Linked DNA regions of Kluyveromyces lactis. The protein of the gene in region 4 interacts with the protein of the main gene of each other region in a pairwise test. Links are inferred from orthologs where the notes say so. Each region holds a gene or a part of one and is shown on either strand. Other genes may lie near its edges. The genes, in order: RRP5, RLP7, BRX1, NOC2, NOP12, ERB1 and DRS1.

Region 1 (4,196 bases), on a different chromosome or scaffold from region 4:
GCACCATAACCACTAGATTGGAATGAATGTGGATGATAGAAAGATACGATAGAACTTGGTACAGTCTCTACAGCAGCACCAGAATATGGTTCTGTGTTGTTTTGTTCCAAGATTGCTGATGAAGTAGTTGTATTAGCGCTGGATCCCGTCCTTGTCGAAGAAAAGGACGGTCTTGCTGATTTATTCGCACTATGGGGTATTCCTGTAAATCTGCTGTCGAATGATGACATTGAGTCCCTCTTCAAAGGTGCGTTGGTCGACCTTATCTATTGATAGAATCCACTCCATATTACTTTTTAAAGGTTTCTGATATATATGAGAATGTAGGTTGATAAATTGAAGATAATTGATTTAATGAAATTTCATACCAAGACACATAATACATAAGGAAGGATAGGAGAAAAGGCAGGCCAATGATACCTCACGTTACAATGTGGAACTTTACTGTGTTGATAAAACTCTCGTAGTTCGATAGATATATAGACTGCCCCTGAAAATGGATCGAAAGGAGCCAGAAACAGCTTTAGACTGTAATATGATGGTGCTTTTATGCCTTATAATAAATATTTCCGGCTGTGAAAGTACCTTTAGAAATGAAATTGAACAAAAAAGAGAAAAAACATATAGTCTGATCTGAAACTATTACCATAGAAGGCATTCCACTCGTAATTGCACAAATTTTTCTTAGCATGACCAACAAAACTCTTATCACTCCCCTAGAACCTTTTAGTTACATGGTTTCCACCATTACAGATATGTAATTATTATACCTCTTTAAGAAGATAGAATAACTGGCTAACAAAAGCCCTTAATAGTTAAGAAGTATGTCATGCATTCAAAAGACCCTAATCCGTGGATACGGTTCAAACAAACTCCAGTGATAACAACGGAAGATCTGTACAACGTTCCATTATTAAACTGTCACTGCATCAAAGGCGCGATTACATTTCGTCTATGTCGTTTTGATTTCTTTTTTTTAATATTGAAAATTTTCAAAAATCGATGCGATGAGATGAGATGAGATGAGATGAGCTTTAGCTACTTAAGTGCTGGATCATTTGTATTGGTATGCTAACACATTTCTGAGCTTTGTTGATTCTAGAAACCAAGTGCAACTTTCTTAATTCTGGTAAAGATAAGTCTGGTTTACTTTCTCAAACAGGAAACAGTTTGGTATAACATATTTTGTATCTTTCTCTGAATTCTTTTTGCTTTGTGCTTTCTATTGGCTTTATTGGTTTCTATCTTCACAGAAGACAAAAACAACAACAACTTGGGAACAGGAGCTTCAATAGTTTGCAAGACACTTCAAGAAAAACATAGGTTTACATCTAAATTGCTAGGTGTAATTTGTTTTGAAAACAGGCATATCTAAATACCGAAAAAGATCACAAACATGGTTGCTCCACAAAGTAAAAGAAAGAGAGACGATGAGTCTCCTTTAGTAAGACAGGATGCTACCGAAGCACCAGCCAAATCTGCATTGAGTAAATCCGAGGAAATCTCATTTCCAAGAGGTGGTTCTTCTGCTTTATCCCCATTGGAAGTTAAGCAGGTTGGTAACGAAGTGGTTGCTGATGTTTTATTTGGCAAGGATGAATCAGCTACTGGTGCAGAGGGCCCAACGAAGAAGAAAAAGAAGAATGCTAAGAATAATTTTGATCAAATTACCACAGGTGATGATGAAGAAAAAGAGGACAAGACTGATTTAATTGAGCATTTTGGAATGAAACAAATGACCAAAGGGACCATTGTCTTGGGTCAAATCCAATCGATCAGCAAACATGAACTGAAAATATCTTTGGTGGACGGTTTGCATGGTTACGTCTCATTAACAGATATCTCTGAACAAATGACCAAGATTTTGGAAAATTTGGACGAATCCATGGAAAGCGATGATGAAAAAAATGAGGACTCAGAATACGATTCTTCAGATGATGAAAGCGACATAACAACTCCTAAAGAATTACCTGATCTCAATAAATATTTCAAAATAGGCCAATGGTTGAGGTGCATGGTACAAAATAACAGCGCTTTAGAATCAAACAAGAACAAAAAGTTAGACTTATCCATCGAACCCTCTGTAGTAAACGTGTTTGAAGATGATGATTTAGCTAAAAACTGTCCACTACAGTGTTCGTTGAAAAGTATAGAAGATCACGGTGCCATTCTTGATATCGGTATTGAGAACTTAACAGGTTTTATCTCAAAGAAGGATATACCTGAATTCAGTTCTTTGTTACCAGGTATGGTGTTCTTAGCTACAGTGACGAAAAGATCTGGTAGAACTGTAAATGTCAACTTGGATTTGGCCAGTAAAAACACCAAGGTCGAAAAGATCTCTTCCATAGATGCCATCGTGCCGGGTCAATCGATTGACTTTTTACCTCAAACTATCACAAATCACGGTGTTATCGGTAAAGCCTTCGGTCTAATAACTGCATTTTTGCCATTGCCACATTCCAATTTCTTTACGGTAGAGGATTTGAAGCATCACTACTCCATTGGTGACTTAGTCAATGCTAGAATTTTGGCAACCACTATAGTGAAAAGCGGCGATAAAGTTGCTGTCGTTTCCACACAACCTCATATCATCTCATTGCATCCAAAATTACAGGAGACCGAAGCGTTAGAATCTTTCCCCGTTGGCTATATCTTCGATTCTTGCACAGTTAAAGGCAGGGATAGTCAATTTTTCTACGTATCAATCAACAATGAACAGGTGGGACAAATTCATTTGTCAAAGGCAGGAGAAACTGAACCAACGGGAACTGTGAAAGCAAGAATACTCGGCTATAACAATGTAGATAAACTTTACACATTGACGTCTGATCCAGCCTTACTTGATGTCAAATACCTAAGATCGTCCGATATTCCAGCAGGCGAAGTTTTGAGCGCTTGTGAGATTGTCACAGTGTCAGGAAAAGGTATTGAATTAAAAATTTTCAATGATCAATTTAAGGCATTTGTTCCTCCCTTACACATATCTGATACCAGACTTGTGTATCCTGAAAGAAAATTCAAAATTGGTTCAAAGGTTAAAGGTAGAGTTCTCAATGTCGATTCTGTGGGCCGTGTCACTGTGACATTGAAAAAGTCTATTGTAAATGCAGACGAAGAATCTGTGACGTTAGTCTGCAAAAATGATGATATTCAGACTGTTGAAAGTCAAGAATTGAAAACAATTGGTACTGTTGAAATATTCAAGCCTAATGGTTGTGTTATCTCGTTCTTTAATAATATCAAAGCTTTCGTTCCAAACAAAGAAATTTCAGAAGCATTTGTAAAGAAACCACAAGAACACTTAAGACTAGGACAAAGTGTTTTGGTTAAAATTTTGAATCATGACTTCGAAAGAAACAGAATTATTGCTTCTTGTAAAATTTCAGCAGAGTCTTCTTCCAAGCAAAAGAGTGCTATTGAATCTTTAGTTGTCGGTAAATCTATCATCGATGCAATTGTTATTGAAAAGACTAAAGATTCCGTCATCGTAGAATCTAAAGATTCAGGGTTGCGCGGTGTTATTTACACCGGCCATTTGTCAGATGATAGAATTGAACAAAACAGAGCTTCGCAGAAAAAGTTAAAGATTAACTCTGAAGTTAGAGGTTTGGTTTTGGACAAGGACATCAGGACTCATGTGTTCAACATGTCCTGTAAAAAATCATTGATTAAAGATGCTGAAGACGGTACCCTTCCTTTAAGTTTTTCCGACATCAAAAATAAAGACAAAACAGAACCGATGCATGGTTACGTTAAATCTGTTTCTGACCGTGGTGTTTTTGTTGCATTCAATGGTAAATTTGTCGGTTTGGTTTTACCAAGTTATGCAGCAGAAACCAGAGATATTGATATTCATAAGAAATACTACATCAATCAATCCGTGACCGTGTATTTATTGAGAACAGATGAGGAACATGAAAGATTTTTATTGACTATTTTAAAACAAAAGACCGATGTTAAGAAGATCAATTCATCTGTAATTAACCCAGTCGACAAGTCTATCAAAGATTTGTCGGACTTCACTATCGGTAAGGTTACAAAGGCTACAATTACATCAGTTAAGAAGAACCAGCTTAACGTTACGTTGGCTGATAATGTACATGGTCGTATCAGTATTTCTGAAGTTTTCGACAGTTTCGAAGATATCAAAGAACAAAAGGCACCATTAAGTGTGTACAAGAAAAATGATTCAC
Region 2 (2,817 bases), on a different chromosome or scaffold from region 4:
TGTAGTGTGGGATACTTTTTACTTCTTCAAATAGGTATCAACAATAAAAATAAATCGAAGCAAATGTAGGAATGCGTTAAAGCAGATGTACTTACTTAGAGTACATAGATATATTTATATAATTCAATATATAAAAGTATATGAAGCATCTGATGTTGAACCTGTCATGACTCTAAACTGGAATGGGTAGTTATGCTTCTGAAGGTTTTCCGTTAGAAAATGAGTGCAGGGATCAGGCCCGGAACCGGTTTTAGCCTGAAAGGAAAAGAAAAAAATGCGGTGATTACTAGCACGTGACTGCGCTGAATTGGAATCCACCACAAGTACAGCGAATGGCAAGAGGGAAGGGGAATATATTGTGCCTGGCGGTAGCGTCTGCTATATCAAATGTTAAACATAACTAAATGCAGTAGTGAATAGAGTAATGTATTTCTACATATGTGGGTAGGGCCAATGGGAGCCCGATGTCTATTGTACAGATATTTTCCTTTTATAGTTAATCAATTCAACTTGGAAATCATTGAGTCGATATCTACTTGGATAACTGGAGCCGTGGCAGCGTTTGAAATTTGACGAGTCTTCTTGTTTTGTTCGCGCATTTTCAGTTTATTCAAACGGGAGATGGCACCGAATCCACTGACTTCTCTGTTCAATTTGAATGGTAATAGGAAGAAAGTACATTTCGAGAAATTTTCGCCCAACGTCGAAATCTCATGGATGATATCCTCGATACAAATGACACCTTCATCACCTAATTTCTCTTCAACGATATTGTTGTCATTCAAGATTATCTCTTTTGGTTCTTTATCTTCTGGCCTTTGCCACATTATTCTAGATCTCTTTTGGATTAAAGAACGGATAGATGCAAGTGAAGGTTGTCCGATAACAATATATGGTGATACAAGTTTCAACAATGGGTACACGTCCTTGGTAAGTTTGATGAAAACACCAGTGTTCAACTCAACAAGTCTCAAAAGAGATAACACTTTGTAAGCCTTTGCTGGGATCTTCACAGCTGTGGGTCCTTTCACTCTTATAACAAATAATAAGCTTGGCTCACCATCGTATACGATTTTTTCCCTGATTAACCCATCGTCCTCTTCATCTTCCTCATCAACATCTTGAAGCTCAGATTCGGATGTAGCCTTACTACCGGCTTCTCTTTCAGAGATACGCAAGATAAAATCCCTATCGGATGGGATATGTGACAAATCGTTCTTGACCTTTTGGTTTTCTAAGTCTCTGACTCTTCTGATTCTGGTCTTTTCTCTCTCAGTAGCCAAAGTTGTGGCGACTATCGTCTCAGCTCTAACAAATCTGTTCTTCTTACTACGTTTCTGTTTCTCTTCTTGCTCCTTTCTCTTCTTGGCAAGCTCCTGCTTCTCCAACCTAGTACGATCAGCATTTCTTCTCTTTCTTAAAAGAACCTCTGGGTTCGAGTTCAATGGTTGTGACATTTGTTGCTTCTATATTACTGCCCTGTTTATTAATCTCAGCACAAACCAGCTCTATATAATACAACTTATATGCTCCTAATACTTCAGATTAGCCAAGGTCATCTCTCATTGAAAGCTTTATTCATAATCTTTAATTTCATCTCATCGCATCTCATCGCACTGAACTTTTTTTTCCTCGCCAAAAAAATTTTCTGTAACGAAAAGAAACACTTCCAGTCACGTGAACTGTGAAACCAAGATCTTCTGTTTGACACTCAGACAAGTAGATGATCAATTACAATTACAATTACAAGCTGACCTCGAATAGGGTACTGGCAAGTTGGCGTTTACCTGGGATGATCTGTTGCTGCAGCATGGTGTACCCCAGCAAGATTCTTCAGAATTAAATGGGAACATTTCGGAAAGTTACCCAAAGAATGGGAAGCAAGTTAAATAGTCAAATAGTCAAATTGTGACTGTCTATATGTGAATCGTATATACAGAGACGAATTTTCAAGCAGTTTCCCCTATCTACCTGCTGCAGGAACTAGCACTTCTAACCGGCAGTAAAGTTTTCCGTATCAGCTCATGAAATCGTTATATCTTGGCTTTTGACACTGGCTTTCGAGGTGGCTTTAGGAGTCTCGAAATGTGTGCCCACAGCAGTGTTTCCTTCGAAACCAGCCGTGGCTCCATTCTTTGTACCATCTATGCCGCTCTCTGTTTCGAAACAACCGTGAGATCAACTGTGGTTCAAGTTCTCAACACAGAACAAGTAAGAAAAAAAAGAAATGGGAAAAGGTCCCTCGAGAGGAAGAATGCTGAAAAGGCAGAGAAGGAACCTCAGAGCAAAGTCCGCCCTTTATCATAAATCGGCGGTCTTTTCTTACAACAGAGATCCCAGTGGGGCGGCTCGAACGACGGAAAAAATTTCGAACGATTTAACCGTGAACGCATGCCTGTCCCTAAATTGTAGGACGTTTTCCTCGATTTAAATTCCAAATCACTGAGCGATACCGCTGACAGCACTGGAATTATGCTACTCTTAAGTTATATTTTTCCCTTCGCTCACGTGATTCTAGGAAGATAGTAAATACACTGTGCCGTTTGTTGAGCTACAGCGTGAACAGTAGGAAATGTACTTCCACTACGGGCTGACTAAGTCCACGCTCGAAGGAATAAAAATCACTTCGAGTGTCTTATGTTTTTCTTTTCTATCAAAACGACAAGTACGATAAAAAAACCGGCATGAAAATCGAGTAGTGGTTATCAGAATGAACATTGCAGGACCCGCGCTGAACCCAAAAGTCGACTTTCTTGATTCTTAATTGTAATCTGACTCTTTGAATGCTTTGAGCTTCGAAATTCCTTTTTTTTTTCT
Region 3 (2,892 bases), on a different chromosome or scaffold from region 4:
CGACTCTTGCTAGTATGTAATTTCTCGTATTCTTGATTTCCAAAACTTCCAATAACTCATCGAATGACTTGCCAAGTTTGTAACTTGCATCTATAATCTTTTGCAAAATACCATAATCGTCAAGGTTATTCAATAACGAGATTCCATGTTTCCAAATGAGTTTATAATCGTCTAATTTCACCAAATGGCCCATAAGGAAGTTTTTCAAATAAAGGTCTAAGTAAGTACCATGTTTCCAAAACTTGAGGATCTCGTCCACGATCTCCTGTGATTTATCCTCAAACAATTCACAAACTTTACAGAAAACGATCAACTCTTGCTCATTCTCAAAAGGTTTCAAATCGCTTGTCAATTTATATGTCAACTTAGGTAAAAGATCCAATTCCCTTTCGTTAATGTTATCTTTATCCAACTGAAACCATACTACAGTAGCAATACTGTTCCAGAATTGGAACAATCTCGATTTCGATTTTTCATTGACTCGTGGCATCTGGAAACTACTCTTACTCAAATGTCTCCAATTTAAATCCCTCAATGACTCCAAGAACCAATCATAACATGTCTCCGAATTACCGTATTTCATCATTGCTCTTTCATAAGGTTCCAATGCACTGGTGGTGTCAAAACCTAATTCCAACAAAAATCGATGGCACATTGATAGCGATTTCGCATCGCTTGGAGGAGATTTGGCATCCAAGATCAACTTTAACCCATTTTCAAAACTATATTTCGCAGGAGATTGCCTGTACTTGACATATTGCTCTAACACTTTGTAATAAGTGGCGGATGGGTACCGTTTCTGCAATGATGCAACAAACTGTGAAGCTTTCTTAAACAGTTCCCTATCTAATAGCTGAAAAAGCTGATGATCTTCAGAGTTCATATCAACAGTTTCCACTCTTCGTGTTGGTCGATATCAAATCTAACAGATCAAACAGCAACGAACACCGTTACTGCCAGACATACCGGGTTGTTCTACGAACGACGTGCGTATGAGGTTGTTCATTAGAAGTTTGAATGCTGAATTAAGCCAATATCGTAATTTTTCAGTCTTGATTACCCGGATAATAAACTATAACTGTATGTGTATCCATAAATGTAAACGGCACAGCCTAACAAGGGCATCAGCGCTCTTACTGCTTGAAATATAAACGCAAGACCTCACCATACAATCCCCACCCGCGTTGAATCTGATAGAAGCCAGTTGGCAGACGATACGAACATTTTCTTTTCGAGAAACTATCCTTTTCTATTTTAAATCATCACTGATGAGCCTTAGTTTCTTTTTCGGTACATTGAAAATTTTTGAAAAGTTAGAAAAGGCGATGAGATGAGATGAGATGAGATGAGATGAGATGAGAAGAGGTATTGAACAAGGTTGTCCTGATCCTTCCAATCTATACATCGTCGGTCTAAACACTTTGAGATTATTGTATTACACTTGAGTAGTTGGAAGGAAGAAAAAGCCAAGAACTGCTAAGCAAATCCTTCTATAATGTCGAGTATTTTCAAGACTTTGTCTCGTAAGGATAAAGACGGTAAGAAGAACAAAAATAATGCGGCTAACAGTGACAGTAATGAGAAACAGTTCATGAATAAGCAACGTACCTTACTTATTACGTCCAGAGGTGTTACTTATAGACATCGTCATTTGGTTCAGGATTTGAACAGTCTTCTACCACATTCGAGAAAGGAACCTAAGTTGGACACGAAGAAGGATCTAGGACAATTGAATGAGATTGCGGAATTGTACAACTGTAATAACATTATATTCTTTGAAGCTAGAAAGCACCAGGATTTGTACCTATGGCTATCAAAGCCACCAAATGGACCAACAATCAAGTTTTATTTGCAGAACCTACATACCATGGACGAATTAAACTTCACTGGCAACTGTTTGAAGGGATCCAGACCAATATTGTCATTTGATGGTAGATTTGATTCTGAACCGCACTACCGTTTAATTAAAGAACTTTTTATCCATAACTTCGGTGTACCACCTCAAGCTAGAAAGTCCAAGCCATTCATTGACCATATCATGTCTTTCAGTATAGTTGACGAAAAGATCTGGGTAAGAACGTATGAGATCTCGCATGAAGCTAGGAACAACGTTGAATATGAGGATAAAGAAGAAGATGAAACGTCGTTAGTTGAAATTGGCCCACGTTTCGTGATGACACCGATTTTGATCCTTGAAGGTTCATTTGGTGGTCCAAAGATCTACGAAAACAGACAATACGTATCGCCAAACTTCGTTAGATCTCAAATTAAACAACAGGCTGCCAAGGAAGCTAAGACCAGAGCCGAAGCTGCTGTTGAAAGGAAACTAAAGAAGAGAGAAAGTGTCTTGGCTGTAGATCCATTATCCAACGATGCATTGTTCAAAGATTAAAGTACAATCCAGAACTCTAGAAAAAATCATGATTTATATATTGTCAACTTAGGAGAACGGCGTTCTTCCTGCTCAGACTTGTACATATGTATACTCCTATATATATGCTTTTGAATGGGCTGTTTTTGATAATATAATTTTTCGTTTTATTCCTAACTATACTATACGTTAAAGTCGTACATGAATATTTAATTTATTTAGTTAACTTGGGGGGCCAGAATACCAGTTAAACTTGAAGCGTCATGAAACGTCATGGGGAAAACGTTTTTACATTTGGTGTGAACCACAGTGTGCTGTTTGAAATGTTTTTTTTATCATTTGTTTGAATTTTAATAGATTTATTAATATTTTACTTGCCCAATGCCATTGCATTCTTCTATTCCCCAAATACGAAGATGTTATGCGTAGTAATAACAAATCATACTGTATAATTTTCAGGAAACGTGAATTGAACAGTCAAGTGGGTAGAATTAATAAGGAAGTAAAAATGTCCTGACTTT
Region 4 (3,893 bases):
GTAAAGTTGGGAATATGTGATACTCCACCTTCATTGAAGATGGCCCTACGGCGAGTACTTTGTATTTGTTCGTGGCCTTTTGGAGGACCAATAACGTTGCCTCTCTTATCAAGTTGAGCTTGGAAACTTGTTGATTTTTCATGGAGCAAAGAATTAATGAGAGACGTTTTCCCAACGTTAGGATTACCCAATAAATAGCATCTTTTAGCCAAAGCATTTATCACTGATGGAATATTCCAATTTCTTGGGTTAGAGAACAATACTACTTTCTTAACATGTACGCCTATATGACGTCTACAAAATTCCGCAAAAAAAGCACTCCCTTTATGTGGTAGCATTGATGACTTGTATGTGATCTGATCAGCCTTTGAAAGTAGTAAATAGTTTCTATTATTCTTTTCTGCCAGGATAGTTTTGTCTAATGACAAGGGAAAGTCAGACAAAGACACAACGTGGTATACGTTTGCAGCATGCGGCAAAGCGCCCTTTATATCGTTGAAAGAATGAATTGGAAAATCAGATGAGTTGTACCTGTTATGACTTATAGCATCGACACATCTTTTACAAACCAATCTTTTGGGAATAGGTTCTTTATAATCTGGATCGGTGTCTGGATCAAGTAGCCCGATTTCATGTTTTTTTAGCTGAAGTTCTTGTGTGAACATTAAATACTTCAAATCTTCAATGGTGCCAGCATCTTTCCTGACAGCGCGAGGAGGCTTATAGTAGCCTGTCACAGAAGGATTCTTGGATTGCAACTCAACACCACAGCTTTTGCATGATACAAACCGAGTAAACTGCTTAAAAGCTTGGAGCCGTGATTTCATAAAAGGTAATACTACTACTATTTTCTGATGCATATACCTCAGTACTCTTATCAATAACGGCTCAAAACTGTTGCATCTCTCGACATTCTGTTTGCAGTTTGTTGCATCTTTTGTCGATACCTTTCCAAGCATGTCAATTACCATATTACTTGCACTATTCATCGATGTCAAGGCGATGCCATTACCCGGATACAAAAAGAAACGCCATGAAAAGTTTTCCAAATATCCAAACCAAAATTCAATCCGATGAGATGAGATGAGATGAGATGAGATGAGATGCCCCAAGAAGAGATATAGAGAAACTTTAACGCAGCTCTAACAACTTAACCAGTAGTCGCTCTAGATAATCTTCTTGAAATCATATTGTTGATCAAAGGCATAATCTTGGGACCTGTTACCTATTGATAAAGGGATCAAGAATTACACAATGGGTAAAGTTTCAAAAGCTACTAAAAAGTTTCAGACGAAACACTTGAAGCATACGTTGGACCATAGAAAGAAGTTAAAAGATCATTCTAAGAGAACCGCCGGTCGTAGGGGTAATAAGACAGAAGAAGAAAAGAATGCAGCTGCGTTGACCAAAGAAGATCAAAAGTTGAAGAAGTCCGCTAAGGAAGAAGTCTTCAACGACATGAAGGTTGAAGAGTTCTTCGACAATGGGTTCGATATTCCAAAAATGTCAAAGAAAATGGCTAAAGAAACCGAAAAAGCATCAAAGGTGAAAGATAATGATTCAGAGTCTTCTGCCGAAGAAGATGAAGATGTTAAAATGGATATGGAAGATTTGGCAAAGAAGGATCCTGATTTCTACAAATATTTGGCAGAGAACGAACCAGATCTTTTGTCTTTCAAATCTACCAATCCTCTAGATGAAATATCAGATGACGAAGAAGGGCAAGTGGGTGAAGAAGAAGAACTGAAAGAACCTGATTTATCAAAGTCCAAGAAGGAGGAAAAAGATAGCAAAATTGCCGTCGACATAAAGCTCGTAAATAAATGGAAGAAGGATTTAAAAAATAGCCCATCTTTCAAAACTATCAGAAGTGTGGTTTCAGCTTTTAAAGCTGCTGTGAACATGAACAACGAGGAAAATGTAGACGATTACAAGTTCACAGTTCTTGATGAAAAAGCCTTCCACGAGTTAATGTTCGTTGCCCTTGTGGATATGCCAAAAGCCGTCCAAAAATTGACACCTTATAGGGTCAGTAAGAATGAAACCAGAACTCTCCCATCAAATAAAAATGTTACAAAATTGTCCTCTGTTTTGAAATCGCACGTTCCATCTCTTATCGTTCTCCTAAGTGACATCACAAACACAGACGTCGCTTCAATGATTTTGCATTCTACCTATGAGCTATTACCATACTTTATTTCATTTAGAAGATTACTAAAAGAATTAATTTCTCAAGTCGTCGAAGTTTGGTCCACTACTGGAGACGTTGAAACTCAAATTGCCACATTCGCGTTTTTGAACAATGCCTCTCGTGAATATAAGAAAGCTTTATTAGAAGTTGTATTGAAGTCCACGTATTCTACTTTCATTAAAAGTTGTCGTAAAACTAACATCAGAAACATGCCTCTAATCAATTTCCAAAAGAACTCTGCTGCTGAACTTTTCGGTATTGATGACGTTATAAGTTATCAATCGGGTTTCGAATATATCAGACAACTAGCCATTCACTTGAGAAACAGTATCAATGCCACAACTAAGAGGTCCTCAAAGGTGGACCCATCAAGTGCTTACAAGATTGTATATAACTGGCAGTTCTGTCACTCTTTGGACTTCTGGTCTCGTGTTATATCCATCCAATGTAACCCAGAAAAGGAAAACGGCCACGAATCCCCTCTTAGACAATTGATTTACCCACTAGTCCAAGTTACCATTGGTGTCATTAGATTGATTCCAACAGCACAATTTTTCCCATTGAGATTTTATTTGATCAGATCCTTGATCAGATTATCTCAAAACACTGGTATCTTCATTCCAGTTTACCCATTATTATCTGAGATTCTCTCCTCTACTGCATTCACAAAGAAACCTAGAAAGTCAACGTTACCTGCATTTGACTTTGATCATAACATCAAGTGTACACAAGCATACTTGGGGACAAAAATATACCAAGACGGGCTAGCTGAGCAATTTGTAGATTTGCTAGGTGAGTACTTTGTTCTATACTCCAGAAGCGTTTCATTCCCAGAATTAACAACGCTTGCCGTTATCTCATTACGTCGTTATATCAAGAATTCTGAGAATGTAAAGTTTAACAAGATGTTGCAAAACGTGGTAGATAAAATCAACCAAAACGCTCAATTCATTACAAAGAAGAGATCAGATGTAGACTTCGGACCAAACAACAGAACAGAAGTAGAAAAATTCTTAAATGAAATATCGTGGAAAGATACTCCTCTTGGTTCCTGGGTTGCTATCCAAAATGAGGTTAAGGAAGAAAAGGCCAGACTCTTAAGAGAATCCTTGGAATCTGACGATGATGAAGAAGAAGAAAATATTTCTGACGGAGCCCAAGACATAGTAATGGATGATGCTGAATCTGAAGCAGATGAATAATCAAATGATTGTATGATAAGTTCAAACTTTCTTCAATTTTAAATTCATTGGTAATCCTATGTCTTCGACCATCTTATATTGGATTGCCTCCTTGTCAAAGACATCGGCGGTAAATTTCATGAAAATAGAAATTACATTATGTAAATTATTTTAAACATGTATACTCAACATTACATTCAGAATACAAAGCTCGGGAGTACAATCTGCGGTAGGCATAACTTGACCAAGTGGAATAATTCTTATACCAGTACTCATTACAGGCGTTATGTCGAATGTCATGAATTTTGAAGGTGATAGTGAAACAACCTTAGTTCAAGAGAATGATTCATTTAGTGATATCTTGCCCAAGTTATCTTGCAGAAACCCTGAAGAAAGATCTACGGGTAGTGTGTTACTTTTAAAGGAGATCCGGAGGTTAGAGAACGATCTTGATCGACAAATACGAGATCTTACGAAGAAAGAGTTTGCTTTGAAAAGGGCAGTGAAAATAATGCAAACTT
Region 5 (3,031 bases), about 630 kb from region 4:
ATTGGATGCCATTTCCGATAGTTTGACACGTGATTCGTCCTCTTCTAAATCCATCTTTTCGGTCTCAGCGTCTGATGAGATGTATATGTCCGATAGAGAGACTGAGTTTGGATGTTCTGGAGAAGTGACCTTAGATAATCCACTGGTACTGTTATCGTCGTATTCTAATGTACCAACCTTTGAGGGACTCCCTGATTTCGATTTCCTTGAATAACTATTTGCGTTAAAATTAACAGAATCAGAATCCGAAGCAATCTTCTCTAAAACTTCTTTGGTAAGTTTCGTAGTGGGGGCAGATCTGGTATTATGATCGTCAATCTCACTCGCAGCCTCTACACTGTTATTTTTGTTTCTCTCTGGCTCCATTTGAATGATTCAAAGATAGTACCGTTTGAATTCAAAAAGAAAGAAATCCCAACGCATATAACCAATACAACCTTTGTATTACTCCAATCGGCTGATGGCAAAGAAAAAACACTTAGCTTATACTCCAATGCAGAAACACACAAAATTTAACCAGCAAACCGTTTAATATGCGCAGTATAAGTTAAGAATTGCTGCTTGAATAGATTGAAAGTTGATACCTGACACACTAAAACAAAGGGCTGCAAATATACCTTACTTCGCGTAATTCTTATTTTTACTAGCAAAACAGTTATCTCTCTCTATTCTTAGTAGTACACAATATTTTAAATCACGTTTGGATGAGATCTATGTATTGATTGCTGACTGGCCATAACTATATGTTCATGCTAAAATCAGACTGTATTTTTATTCTTAACTTATATTTCGGCATTTCAGCACTATTTACAGTTTGTACGTTTTTTAAGGAAAAGGAACATGATGTTACCCGGCCATATAGTACATTCCACGGTGTTAATCACGTGACTACGATACATTCGATTTGTCCATAGAGCGTACGCTTTTCTTCCGCATTTCTTTTTGGTGGTAAATTCATGATTTCTGCTGGCTTTTCTAGGAAGTGCAGGTTTTTCACTTTCGATAATTCAACAGACAAATGGATAAAGCTCATCGCATCGAAGAGACTTGGACAGCCACCAGCAGGTTTAGTGCAGAGGAATAACGTTTGTGTTGGTGAACCAGGGTCTTTCAAACATAACAAACCAAAATTATATTACGGGATGTCCGCATTGAACAATTTATTTGGAAATTCCAAATCAGACGCGGCAGGTACATCATCGATTGCAGCGTTATTCTCCAAACCTAATCATGTCGATGAGCGTAAAGTAAAGTCGAAAGCTAGGACTGTGCTAACTGAGCCTGAACAGGATAAGGATGAACAAGAAGAAGAGAATGTCCAGGAAAGTGCTTCTACTGTCTCCGAAGGAGTAGAGAAAGAACAGGAAGAACAGGAAGAACAGCCGAAGAAGAAAAAGAAGAAGACCAAGAAGAATGATGAAGAGAATGATAATTTGGAAGTTCAATATTATTCTAAGGTATTAGGTGATTCTAAATCTAAAGATGAACCTAAGGATGAACCTAAGGACGACTCTTCCGATAGTGATAATGAAGATGAAGCAACTGCAGTCGATAAGTCTTCGATTACCGGCACGGAATCTGAATCTGCTAAAGTTATCAATTTGAAAGAAAAGGAACTAGCCAAGGCTGAGAGAACAATTTTTATTGGGAATGTACCAAATGAGGTTATCACATCAAAGAAAGTTTACAAAGAATTTAAGAAACTTCTCTCCAAGGATCCCCGTAGCGAGAATGATGACCACGATGACGGAGAAGAAGACGAAGAAGAAGAAGAAAGTAAGACAAAAGATGTTAAGTTTAATGTGGAAAGTATCAGATTCAGATCCATTGCATTCGAAGAAGCATTGCCAAGAAAAGTTGCATTTGTTCATCAAAAGCTTCACAAATCTAGAGATTCGATCAACGCATATGCCGTATATGGGAGCTCCAATCCGGTCAAGATTATGTGCCAATATCTGAACGGTAAAGTGTTCAACGACCATCATTTGAGAGTGGATTCGGTTACACACCCCTCCCCACATGATAAGAGAAGATCAGTCTTCGTGGGTAATTTGGATTTTGAAGAAGTGGAAGAAAGTCTCTGGAAGCACTTTGAACCTTGTGGTGACATTGAATATGTTCGTATTATTCGTGATTCAAAGACGAACATGGGTAAAGGTTTCGCATACGTTCAATTTAAGGACTTCCAATCAGTGAGTAAAGCGTTACTACTACATGAAAAGAAGATCCATGAAGGTAAGAAGGCCAGAAAGCTAAGAATTTCTAGATGCAAGAATATGAGAAAGGCCCAAGGAAACCAATCTTCCCTACAAAATAATAAATTAAACGACCAACAAAGGACAAAACTGGGAAGAGCTAAGAAGGTGTTAGGTAAGGCTGATAGGGCTAAGCTAGGTGAAGAGTTGACAATTGAGGGTTTAAGAGCTTCAAAGGGAGAAACCACCCCTGTACTAAAAAGAACAAAGAACAGATCAAAGACAGGAAGAGTTACTAAGCGTTCGATAGCTTTTAAGAAACAAAATGCTCAATAATGGAGCACAACCTTAACAATTATAGTATAGTGTACATATGGATAAATAATCCAACTTTTCAATAAGACAGACACTTGTTGTATCTCCGATTTGGCTTGCAATTGGTCTTGGTGCTTCAACTGGGGAATTACTGTCAATTATTGTTCCGGGTAATCTCTTTTGTCCTATTAATTCTTTGACTATTCGATATTTTATGCTATATACCGGAGAACCTTAAATGTGATTCGTTGGCATAAGAGACAGCTCGTGTTAAAAATAAGTGGCATTTCGTAACCTAACGCAGCCAACACCTATGCGAAGCTTAATGTTAGGCGTATTATCTACAGAGAAAGAGGGACGATAGATATAAAAAAATGAATGGTTTGAAGGTCGAATATGAAATCGATAAATTAATAGAGATTGTGGATGAGAGAGACAGGTTAATGGATGTCCTTCACATGCAACCATCTAAAAATGATAACATAAAACTTAAGAAACATATAAACCATACACTTGATTTG
Region 6 (4,263 bases), about 2.4 Mb from region 4:
TATCAGCCTAGACAAAGACAAAAATCAGAATAATGACGGCAACTATGACGATGATGATGATGATGATGATGATGATGATGTTCTATATTCTTCGCATCACCAGCGGCACACGAATGAAATGTTGTCCACCACTGATACAAACATACGGCAACATACACAAAATGGCTACGCTCTGCCTAACGCTGAAGAGTTAGACGAATTGAGTAAAATTACGACCGTTGCCAGCACAACAAATAACGGTAATGATATCGCATCAGATGAGGAAATGGCAATGATGAGAGACATGGATACCTTTTGAGCTCTGATCCAAAGATAATAATGTATTCCCTTGAACACTAATTAGAAAGTATCTACTTGTAATATTGATAGGTAATGATGTCCATAGTATACAGTGTTTTACAAATATCCCGTCATGAGGGTTCTATCAGGTAGTCCACAAACGAGCGGTTTTGTCGGCACCTGCAGAGAATAGCCAAGCTTCACGTGGATGCCATATAGTATCTAGAACACCTAAACTATTCACAATCTTGTGGCCGGTTAGTTTCTTCAACGGGACGATCATAGGGTTCTTCATTAAATCGTCATAGACCGTGGCATGGAAAACATGGATGTTACCATCATCCGCAGCTGAGCAAAACAGTGGTAGTTTCTTGTGGAAACTTACGCTTCTTACAGCCTTCTCATGGTATCTCAAGGTCTTATATGGAGTGCTTGCAAGGTCAAGATCATGCCACAACACTCTCTTGTCAAACGAGGATGCAATTAAGTTATCACCTCTTGGGTGAATATCAATAGTAGATAACCAACGAGCACCAGGTAGAAGTTTCTTGATTAGCACTTGTTGCGATAGGTCATAAATTCTGACGTATCTTTGAGAACAGACCAAGAGCTGTGGCTTGAATGGATGGAATTTTGCATCCATAATGATACCCTTAGATTTTTTGAATGGCGATTGAGTTAAATGCTTGGATAATTGATGAATCAAAACTGATGTATTACCTGAGTCTGGTTGAACAGTGACAAAGTAATCACCTTTTCTATGCCATGAAAGCTTTTTCACTGATTTACGACAAGTTATTACGATACAAATATCATTGGCAGCTTGCCTTTCGGTTGGTTTATTCCATTGAGCAACCTGTTTCTTGACAGCATGTGATTCAGCACCGTCATCCTCATCATCGCTATTCACATTGAGATTACTCTTTTTGACGTTTCCGAAAGTATCGAAACCAAAACCGTATTCAATCTTTGATTTACCTGTGTTTTCAATTTCAAAGCCGAAAATTGGTGGAACAAGCAAGAAGATGTTTTCGCCAGCAGTAACCGCAAGGATACCGGTAGTACTGTCGGGATTCCATTCAACAACGTCTATGTGGTCATCATTGTTTTCTTCCGCATTAAGTATTGTGACTTGGTAAACTTCTCTACCTGTAAGAATTTCCCATACTCTGACAGTGCCATCATCGGAACCAGTAGCCAACCATAATCCAGTTGGATCAATGGACATTGTACGAATTTTTCCTTTATGACCGACATAAACGGTAGAGCAACGGATTGGAAATGGTCTCAAATCTTTTGTAGAGGGCAATTCTGGGATCAAAGATTCAGGATCAATGTTCAACTTATTTTTGCGAACACGAGGCGCTAAATACAAATCTAATGATCTTTCAAACCTTTCTCTGACAGATTCAGAGTAACCTGGAACTTTTCTTAATGCAGCGAATTTGTGAGGCACAAAATTTCTCTCTCTTTCACTTGGTTCCATCTTTTCCCATGCATCAATTTCCTCTGGGGTCAAAAGATACTCTTCCGGAGGGTTGTAAGACTCCTCATTTGTTGGTGGTGGCAATTTTGGGGCTCTCAAGTTCATAACATGTTCAGAGATTTCTTCGGCATCTCCCCAGAGATCGTAGTTATGACTGTCTTGTTCTTCTTTTTCTCTTAATTCCTTTAGTTTCTTTGGTGGGATAATTCTACCTTCTCTGATTGCTTTGACTATTTTCATCACACGCTTGGCTTCGTGCTTTGACGGAACGAAACGTCTTTTCGGTTCTGGGACGGCCGTAACTGGCATTACAGATTCGTGTCTAGTGAACCAGTCGATTAAAGGTTCGTATGGATTCACAGATTCGTCCGTCTGTTGATTATTTTGCAACTTATTGATTAATTCAAGTTCTTCTTCGGTCAAATTCAAAGAGGCACCGCTGTCTTTGTCTAGTAAACCTGTCCAACCCTCTGGCAATTCTATAGATTCCAATAATTGATCTAAAGCAGATCCTTTGGCTGGTCTCATTATTCTCTTACCATTAATGTCATAACCAATATGTGGCATTTCATCATATGCAGATAGTGGGATGTTACCAATTGTGTTCTTAGCTTCTGCATCACTATCATCACTATCATAAACAGGATTAATTTCTGACTTAAGAATTCTTGGTCTTCCATCTGAATACTTGGTACGAACAATGCCTTCATCGCTTGTTTCTGGAATCACTGTTAACTTTACATTTGACAATTTGTCGGTAATGGAAAAAGCATCGCCTTCTTCAGAAAAATCTGAAGTATTATACTCCTCCTCCTGTCCATTTTCTTCTTCAGCTAATAAGCGATTGAATTCAGCATCAGAGTCGTCATCTTCAGCTTCCTCAGCTTCATTTTCGCTAGCCTCTTCATCGATTAAACCATCAACTTCAATTCTTTCATCTTCAGAATCGGACAATTCAGATTCCTCGAGAACTCTCTTTTTTACAACAAGCTCCGCTGATTCAGAACCATTCAAAGAAGAATTCTTTCTGGCCATAGTTTCTGGTATTGTTTTCTGGCTCTCTATACTTTCAGAGCTTCTTCTGATGCCGTTAACTTTGAGAAGTACTGGTTATCTCTGTGGTCTATTCACTTCAGCTCATCTCATCTCATCTCTCAAGATGAAAATTGAAAATTTTAAGAAACAAAAAGAAAGAAAATTACGATACATTAATTACTTCTACAAAGTTTTGAACAAGAATGCTATTTTGAAAAAGTCAAAGTACCCTTCAGCAAAGATAGGGAACTGGTATTCAATCAACTCCACATATACTTCTACTTACGTTGAAGATATTTACTTTGGTCGCTAGCCTACAATGAATGTAATTCTTAACTCTTATTTTTTTTGCATCATAGACAGTTATCTTAGTTTTATTCTAGTAGATGCAACATCGTTTTCAAGTTTGTAATTTCATCATTGAAGAAGCTATTTCCAGTAAACTTCATTATTCCAATTTGGGGCGCTGATAAGAGAGACCTATTTCGTTTCTTCAGAAACTCTTAACGATGTAACATATACTCATGTAGTTCTCTCAGATCTTGTTGTGATATGCCTTGGATGATAGTTGATTGATTAATCGCCTGATGAGGGATCGTTGATATCAAACAATATAACGAATATAATATAATAATCTATTTAGTTAGATCGTTGAGTATATGCGTCCAACCTCCCCAAGAGGTCGCAACATAGCTCAGCCTTTTATACTCGACTTATATACTCGGATGGTCGTCAGACTTCGTCATGGCAACTCATTGCCTCCATGCCCTTGTAGGTCCTCTGCAGCTACCGTCCTCCACGCGCACTCAAGACCATCACGTGACCGTCTATGATCCATCTAGGCCATCCCTTCTGGATACCACAGGATCCATATGCCCAGTCACTGACGTCTTGGAACTCTGCCGTGTGCTGGCTAGCTCACATGACCTCTCGTCTGGCTTGTCTTCAGTCTATATTACGACAGACCTCACAAGATGGTTTCGTGGTCTAGTCGGTTATGGCATCTGCTTAACACGCAGAACGTCCCCAGTTCGATCCTGGGCGAAATCATTTTTTTCATTGAAAACTAGAAAACTTCTGTTCCACTGGACCTGGGGCAGCATGCCCTATGTTAGGTATGCAATAACAGGCAACTTCATATACGGTCAAGAGTTGTGATATCAATTGAGAGAATATAATTAACGAGTGTAACTACTTAATGAGTTAGAATACGCATGTCTTTGAAACTGAAGCGGCCAATTTTTCTAGAAATTCTTGGTCAAGCTTAGTAAACCCGTTGTAGTCCAAACAGTCAATATCGATAACACCTACTGTTTCGCCATTTTGGACTATAGGAACCACAATTTCACTCTTTGTCTCCCCATCACATGCTATATGCCCTGGGAAGTTTTCAACATCTGGTACTAATTGAGTTTGTTGACTAGACGCAGCAGTACCACACACTCCTTTACCAAATTGAATCA
Region 7 (4,190 bases), about 1.4 Mb from region 4:
CCAGGGTGGTTTAACCATATACAAATCTGGTGATGCAATGAAACAGAAATCAATCTTCCAATTGCTGGATGACCTTCTAGCCAGAAACCAATTATACATAGAAAACAGCCATAATGACGAGAGCGAGCAACAAAGCTTCAAATCTTTTCCGGAGGAGTAGAGGACTTGATTTCTTTATTGTTACGTCGAAAATGTCTCATGGTTTCGGACCCTTTGATTAATTGTCGTGATTTCATCAAGAATAATATAACACATTTCCATTACATAAGTATATAAACATGCAAAACTTTTTATTTTTGTGCTTCTAGATCTCTAAGTTCGATGCTTTTCCCTGGAACTTGAGAAGCTGGCTGGCTGGCACTGGCAGGTGCAGAATCGTCATCCACCATACCTTCGAAAAATGTGTCTTTCAACTCTCTCCACCTGGTAATCCAAGTCCCAAGGAAAATCAATATCAGTGTAGACAAAAATTGCAAGATAAACCATGCTAGTGAAGGGAATAGCCCTGTGTGTGTCCATACTACTACTAGATTTATAGCATGGATTGTAATGGCAAAATCCCACGCGAGTTTACTCCTTCCCACTATGATGGTCAAAAAAAAGACACAAATCAAGGAATCAATTAACCAAAGGGCTGATAAAGAAATACCAAAAGAGTTTGAGAAATCAATGTCCTGCCATGTAAACAACCATTGCTTTAGCTTTATTTCGTACCCACATATTTTCGCCCAGCAATAAAACAAAGTTGATGCAGTGAGATAATAGAACATTTGCAAGAGTATAATCTGAACGATTATTTTACCAGGGGACTGAGACTCTTGTTTGAAGATTTCAGTGGGTAATAGTTCTCTCGGAACACGCATGTATCGTCTAAGCGAAGCCATCTCCCTGATTGGTTGAAATGTCTCTAATCGGTCGCCTTTCTAAAACTGCACTTGGTACAGTTCAATTCTATCAAATATAACTGGTGCGAACAACCAAAAGAATTCACCGAATATTATAGGAGGAATGCAATAAGTAACGAAAGAGGACTAACTACTCAATTCTGTCTTTATTTTCAAGTCTCTCAAATCATGTCTCAATCACAACTCATCTTGGATTTAATATGTTGCTTAGAGATTCCGAACTAGTTTCCATGTTGACAACCAGTGGTTACCCTAACTTGACGATATGTTTTTCCTCAAAAGAAATTTTCCATGTTCAAGCTTTTCACATCTGGAATGGCGATGAGATGAGCTTGAGATGAGCTACGACAACTAGAATAACTTAGCAGTGAGTACTGTTCATTGTTCCTTATTATAACTTCTACAGGTGACATACTATTTATCTAGTGCTATTATTCTTCACTCATTTCTACTTTGCGAGAAAGAATAGAATTCTTGTTGTTCTTTGATTGAGTATTAAGGTAAGTGGAAAATAAAGAGATATACGGCATTCGTTAATATGGCTGTTAAGAAGTTTAGATCATTCGATGATTTTGTTCCTACAATTAGTGATAGCGAAGAAGATGTTCCAGATTTAGATGCTTCTGATGACGAAATGGAAAAGAAGCCAGTGAAGTCCTCAAAAACTAAGAACAAATCTAAAAAGAAGGCCAAGCAACAACAGGGATCTCACTTGGACGAAGATGTCCATGAAGATTTGAATCCAGAATTCCAATTCTCCATTGACAGCGGAGAAGTTACCACCAACTTTGCAGGCTGGGATTTCCAAGGTGATGAGAAGAGTGATGAAGTTGAGAAAAAAGATGTCGATCTAGATGGGATCATTAGAAGAAAAGGTGGTTTGATTATGATGGCTGCTACAGGCAGTGATGCCGAAGAAAGCCTATCAGAAGAGTCCGAAGAAGAACCAGAAGAAGGAGACGAACCTGGCGAGAGTGATGATGAAGATGAATTAGCTTTGGATGGGTTCGGTATGGGTGTCAAGAGAAAGGCAACAGAGGAAAATGAAGAAGATGAAGAGGATGAAGAAGAAGAGGATGACGACGAAGATGACGACAAAAAGACCGAAATGAGTCAGGCAGATTTAGGTAAGGGAAAAGACGAAGATGAAGACATTGAAGAAGACACTAAAGAAGAAATGGCTGAATTTTATGCTCCAGAAGAGGAAAGTGCGGATGCTAAAAAGATCGTTCATAAAACTTTCAACAGCTTGTCGTTATCCCGTCCTGTGTTGAAAGGGCTTGGAAGTTTAGGATACACCAGTCCTTCTCCAATTCAAAGTGCTGCTATTCCTATTGCCCTTCTTGGTAAAGATATCATTGCCGGTGCTGTTACAGGTTCTGGTAAAACAGCTGCTTTTATGATTCCTATCATCGAACGTTTGTTGTACAAACCTGCACATATTGCATCAACAAGGGTTGTTGTACTAACTCCAACCCGTGAATTGGCTATTCAAGTGGCTGATGTTGGTAAAAATATCGGTAAGTTTGTTAACGGACTAACGTTTGGTTTGGCCGTCGGTGGTTTGAATTTAAGACAACAAGAACAAGCATTGAAGACCAGACCTGATATCGTAATTGCCACACCAGGTAGATTTATCGATCATTTAAGAAATTCTGCGAGTTTCAGCGTTGATTCAGTTGAAATCTTGGTCATTGACGAAGCTGATAGAATGTTAGAAGAAGGTTTCCAAGAGGAACTACAAGAAATCATGTCTCTCATTCCAAGTAAGAGACAAACTCTGTTGTTTTCTGCTACAATGAACTCAAAAATTAAGCAATTAATCTCGCTATCTCTAAAGAAGCCTGTTAGGATTATGATTGATCCTCCAAAACAAGCAGCAGATAAATTGACACAGGAGTTCATCCGTATACGTAAAAGAGATCATCTCAAACCGGCATTATTATATCAATTGATTAGAAAGTTGGACAATACAAGCCAGAAGAGAATAGTAGTTTTTGTTGCTAGGAAAGAAACTGCCCATAAACTGAGAATCGTCCTTGGGTTATTGGGTATGCAAGTTGGTGAATTGCATGGTTCGTTAACCCAAGAACAACGTCTACAGTCTGTTAATAACTTCAAATCCTTACAAGTACCAGTCTTAATCTGTACCGATTTAGCTTCGAGAGGTTTAGATATTCCAAAAATTGAAGTGGTTATCAATTTCGATATGCCAAAAACTTACGAAATTTACTTACACAGAGTTGGTCGTACTGCCAGAGCGGGTAGAGAAGGTCGTTCAGTAACCTTTGTAGGCGAATCATCTCAAGATAGAAGTATTGTCAGAAGTGCGATCAGATCAGTGGAAGAAAACGCTGAAAGTGGAAAGGCCTTGAGTAGAAACGTTGACTGGACACAAGTCGAGCAAGTCAACAGCTTGATTGGAGCAAAGGGTGATGTTGTAGAGGAGATTATTGAAGAAGAAAAGCAAGAGAAAGAGATACTTAGAGCTGAAATGGAACTTCGCAAAGGTGAAAACATGCTAAAACACAAGGAAGAAATCAGTGCAAGGCCAAGAAGAACCTGGTTTCAATCAGAAGCTGAGAAGAAGAACTCTAAAATGCTTCAAGTTTTGGCAAAAAACAAAAAGCCAATCAACAGTAAGAAGAGAAAACAGCAAGAAGCATTGGCTGAGAATCCTCGGCTATATAAAAAGACACAAAAAGATCGTGTCGAATATCAGGAACGTCAATACAGCAAGAAGCAAGCTGCCTACGGAAAGAAGGGAAAGAAGGGTAAGAAATAAATTACTGTCCTATGTTCTTAGTTTTGGCTTAATTATCAATGCGCATGAAAATTCATTATATACTACATAAACGCAGTTGAGGTGTTATTACATAATCATCAACTCTCATTCGTAATATATACCCATCGAGAGTTGCTTTAGAGTTTCTGGATTGTAATAAAAGTCATCCGTTTCCTCCTCTGAGAAGGATTCCAGTGACTCATCATCTCTAAATTTATCATCAAGAGCAGCAAGTTGGACGTTCCTTCTTAATTTTATTAATGTATCGATTTGTTTCTCAGTTTCTGGTGATAATTTGGCGTGTTTACTTTGTGATAATAATTGTAAACCATCCAACCAGGTGTAGAAGCTCTCTGTACTCTCCAAGTAAAATGCAGATAAAATTTTCCCGTTTCTGTCAAAGGTGGTAACTTCTCTATAAATTGTGTTCTGAAGAATATTAATCAATCTAACACCTTCAGGAAGCTTTCTATCGAGTTCAATTTGCCTACTTTGAATGT

Evidence for each region.
Region 1: the proteins of NOC2 (region 4) and RRP5 interact in binary tests that used the Saccharomyces cerevisiae proteins (3 or more experiments, as listed by UniProt). The link is inferred for Kluyveromyces lactis from reciprocal best matches to the Saccharomyces cerevisiae genes NOC2 and RRP5.
Region 2: the proteins of NOC2 (region 4) and RLP7 interact in binary tests that used the Saccharomyces cerevisiae proteins (3 or more experiments, as listed by UniProt). The link is inferred for Kluyveromyces lactis from reciprocal best matches to the Saccharomyces cerevisiae genes NOC2 and RLP7.
Region 3: the proteins of NOC2 (region 4) and BRX1 interact in binary tests that used the Saccharomyces cerevisiae proteins (3 or more experiments, as listed by UniProt). The link is inferred for Kluyveromyces lactis from reciprocal best matches to the Saccharomyces cerevisiae genes NOC2 and BRX1.
Region 5: the proteins of NOC2 (region 4) and NOP12 interact in binary tests that used the Saccharomyces cerevisiae proteins (3 or more experiments, as listed by UniProt). The link is inferred for Kluyveromyces lactis from reciprocal best matches to the Saccharomyces cerevisiae genes NOC2 and NOP12.
Region 6: the proteins of NOC2 (region 4) and ERB1 interact in binary tests that used the Saccharomyces cerevisiae proteins (3 or more experiments, as listed by UniProt). The link is inferred for Kluyveromyces lactis from reciprocal best matches to the Saccharomyces cerevisiae genes NOC2 and ERB1.
Region 7: the proteins of NOC2 (region 4) and DRS1 interact in binary tests that used the Saccharomyces cerevisiae proteins (3 or more experiments, as listed by UniProt). The link is inferred for Kluyveromyces lactis from reciprocal best matches to the Saccharomyces cerevisiae genes NOC2 and DRS1.

What each region holds. Positions count from the first base shown.
Region 1 is NC_006038.1:728,454-732,649, forward strand, and holds the start of RRP5 (Rrp5p), read left to right. Parts: upstream 1-1,396; coding exon 1,397-4,196. Other genes in the region: YPK9 (putative acid anhydride hydrolase), read right to left, coding at 1-230.
Region 2 is NC_006040.1:418,075-420,891, reverse strand, and holds RLP7 (Rlp7p), read right to left. Parts: upstream 1,458-2,817; coding exon 501-1,457; downstream 1-500. UniProt on the Saccharomyces cerevisiae protein: Involved in the biogenesis of the 60S ribosomal subunit. May act as a specificity factor that binds precursor rRNAs and tethers the enzymes that carry out the early 5' to 3' exonucleolytic reactions that generate the mature rRNAs.
Region 3 is NC_006041.1:1,577,239-1,580,130, forward strand, and holds BRX1 (ribosome biogenesis protein BRX1), read left to right. Parts: upstream 1-1,495; coding exon 1,496-2,392; downstream 2,393-2,892. Other genes in the region: MDM20 (Mdm20p), read right to left, coding at 1-883. UniProt on the Saccharomyces cerevisiae protein: Required for biogenesis of the 60S ribosomal subunit.
Region 4 is NC_006042.1:102,265-106,157, reverse strand, and holds NOC2 (mRNA-binding ribosome synthesis protein NOC2), read left to right. Parts: upstream 1-1,254; coding exon 1,255-3,393; downstream 3,394-3,893. Other genes in the region: GEP3 (Gep3p), read right to left, coding at 1-989; MEI5 (Mei5p), read left to right, coding at 3,659-3,893. UniProt on the Saccharomyces cerevisiae protein: Involved in the intranuclear transport of ribosomal precursors.
Region 5 is NC_006042.1:734,389-737,419, reverse strand, and holds NOP12 (rRNA-processing protein NOP12), read left to right. Parts: upstream 1-1,142; coding exon 1,143-2,531; downstream 2,532-3,031. Other genes in the region: Rpd3L histone deacetylase complex subunit DEP1, read right to left, coding at 1-366; SYN8 (syntaxin), read left to right, coding at 2,885-3,031.
Region 6 is NC_006042.1:2,460,413-2,464,675, reverse strand, and holds ERB1 (ribosome biogenesis protein ERB1), read right to left. Parts: upstream 2,801-4,263; coding exon 425-2,800; downstream 1-424. Other genes in the region: CSM3 (Csm3p), read left to right, coding at 1-298; KLLA0_F26587g (L-methionine (R)-S-oxide reductase), read right to left, coding at 4,004-4,263.
Region 7 is NC_006042.1:1,453,292-1,457,481, forward strand, and holds DRS1 (putative ATP-dependent RNA helicase), read left to right. Parts: upstream 1-1,443; coding exon 1,444-3,690; downstream 3,691-4,190. Other genes in the region: CYR1 (adenylate cyclase), read left to right, coding at 1-160; SYS1 (Sys1p), read right to left, coding at 291-884; LMO1 (Lmo1p), read right to left, coding at 3,796-4,190. UniProt on the Saccharomyces cerevisiae protein: ATP-binding RNA helicase involved in ribosome assembly.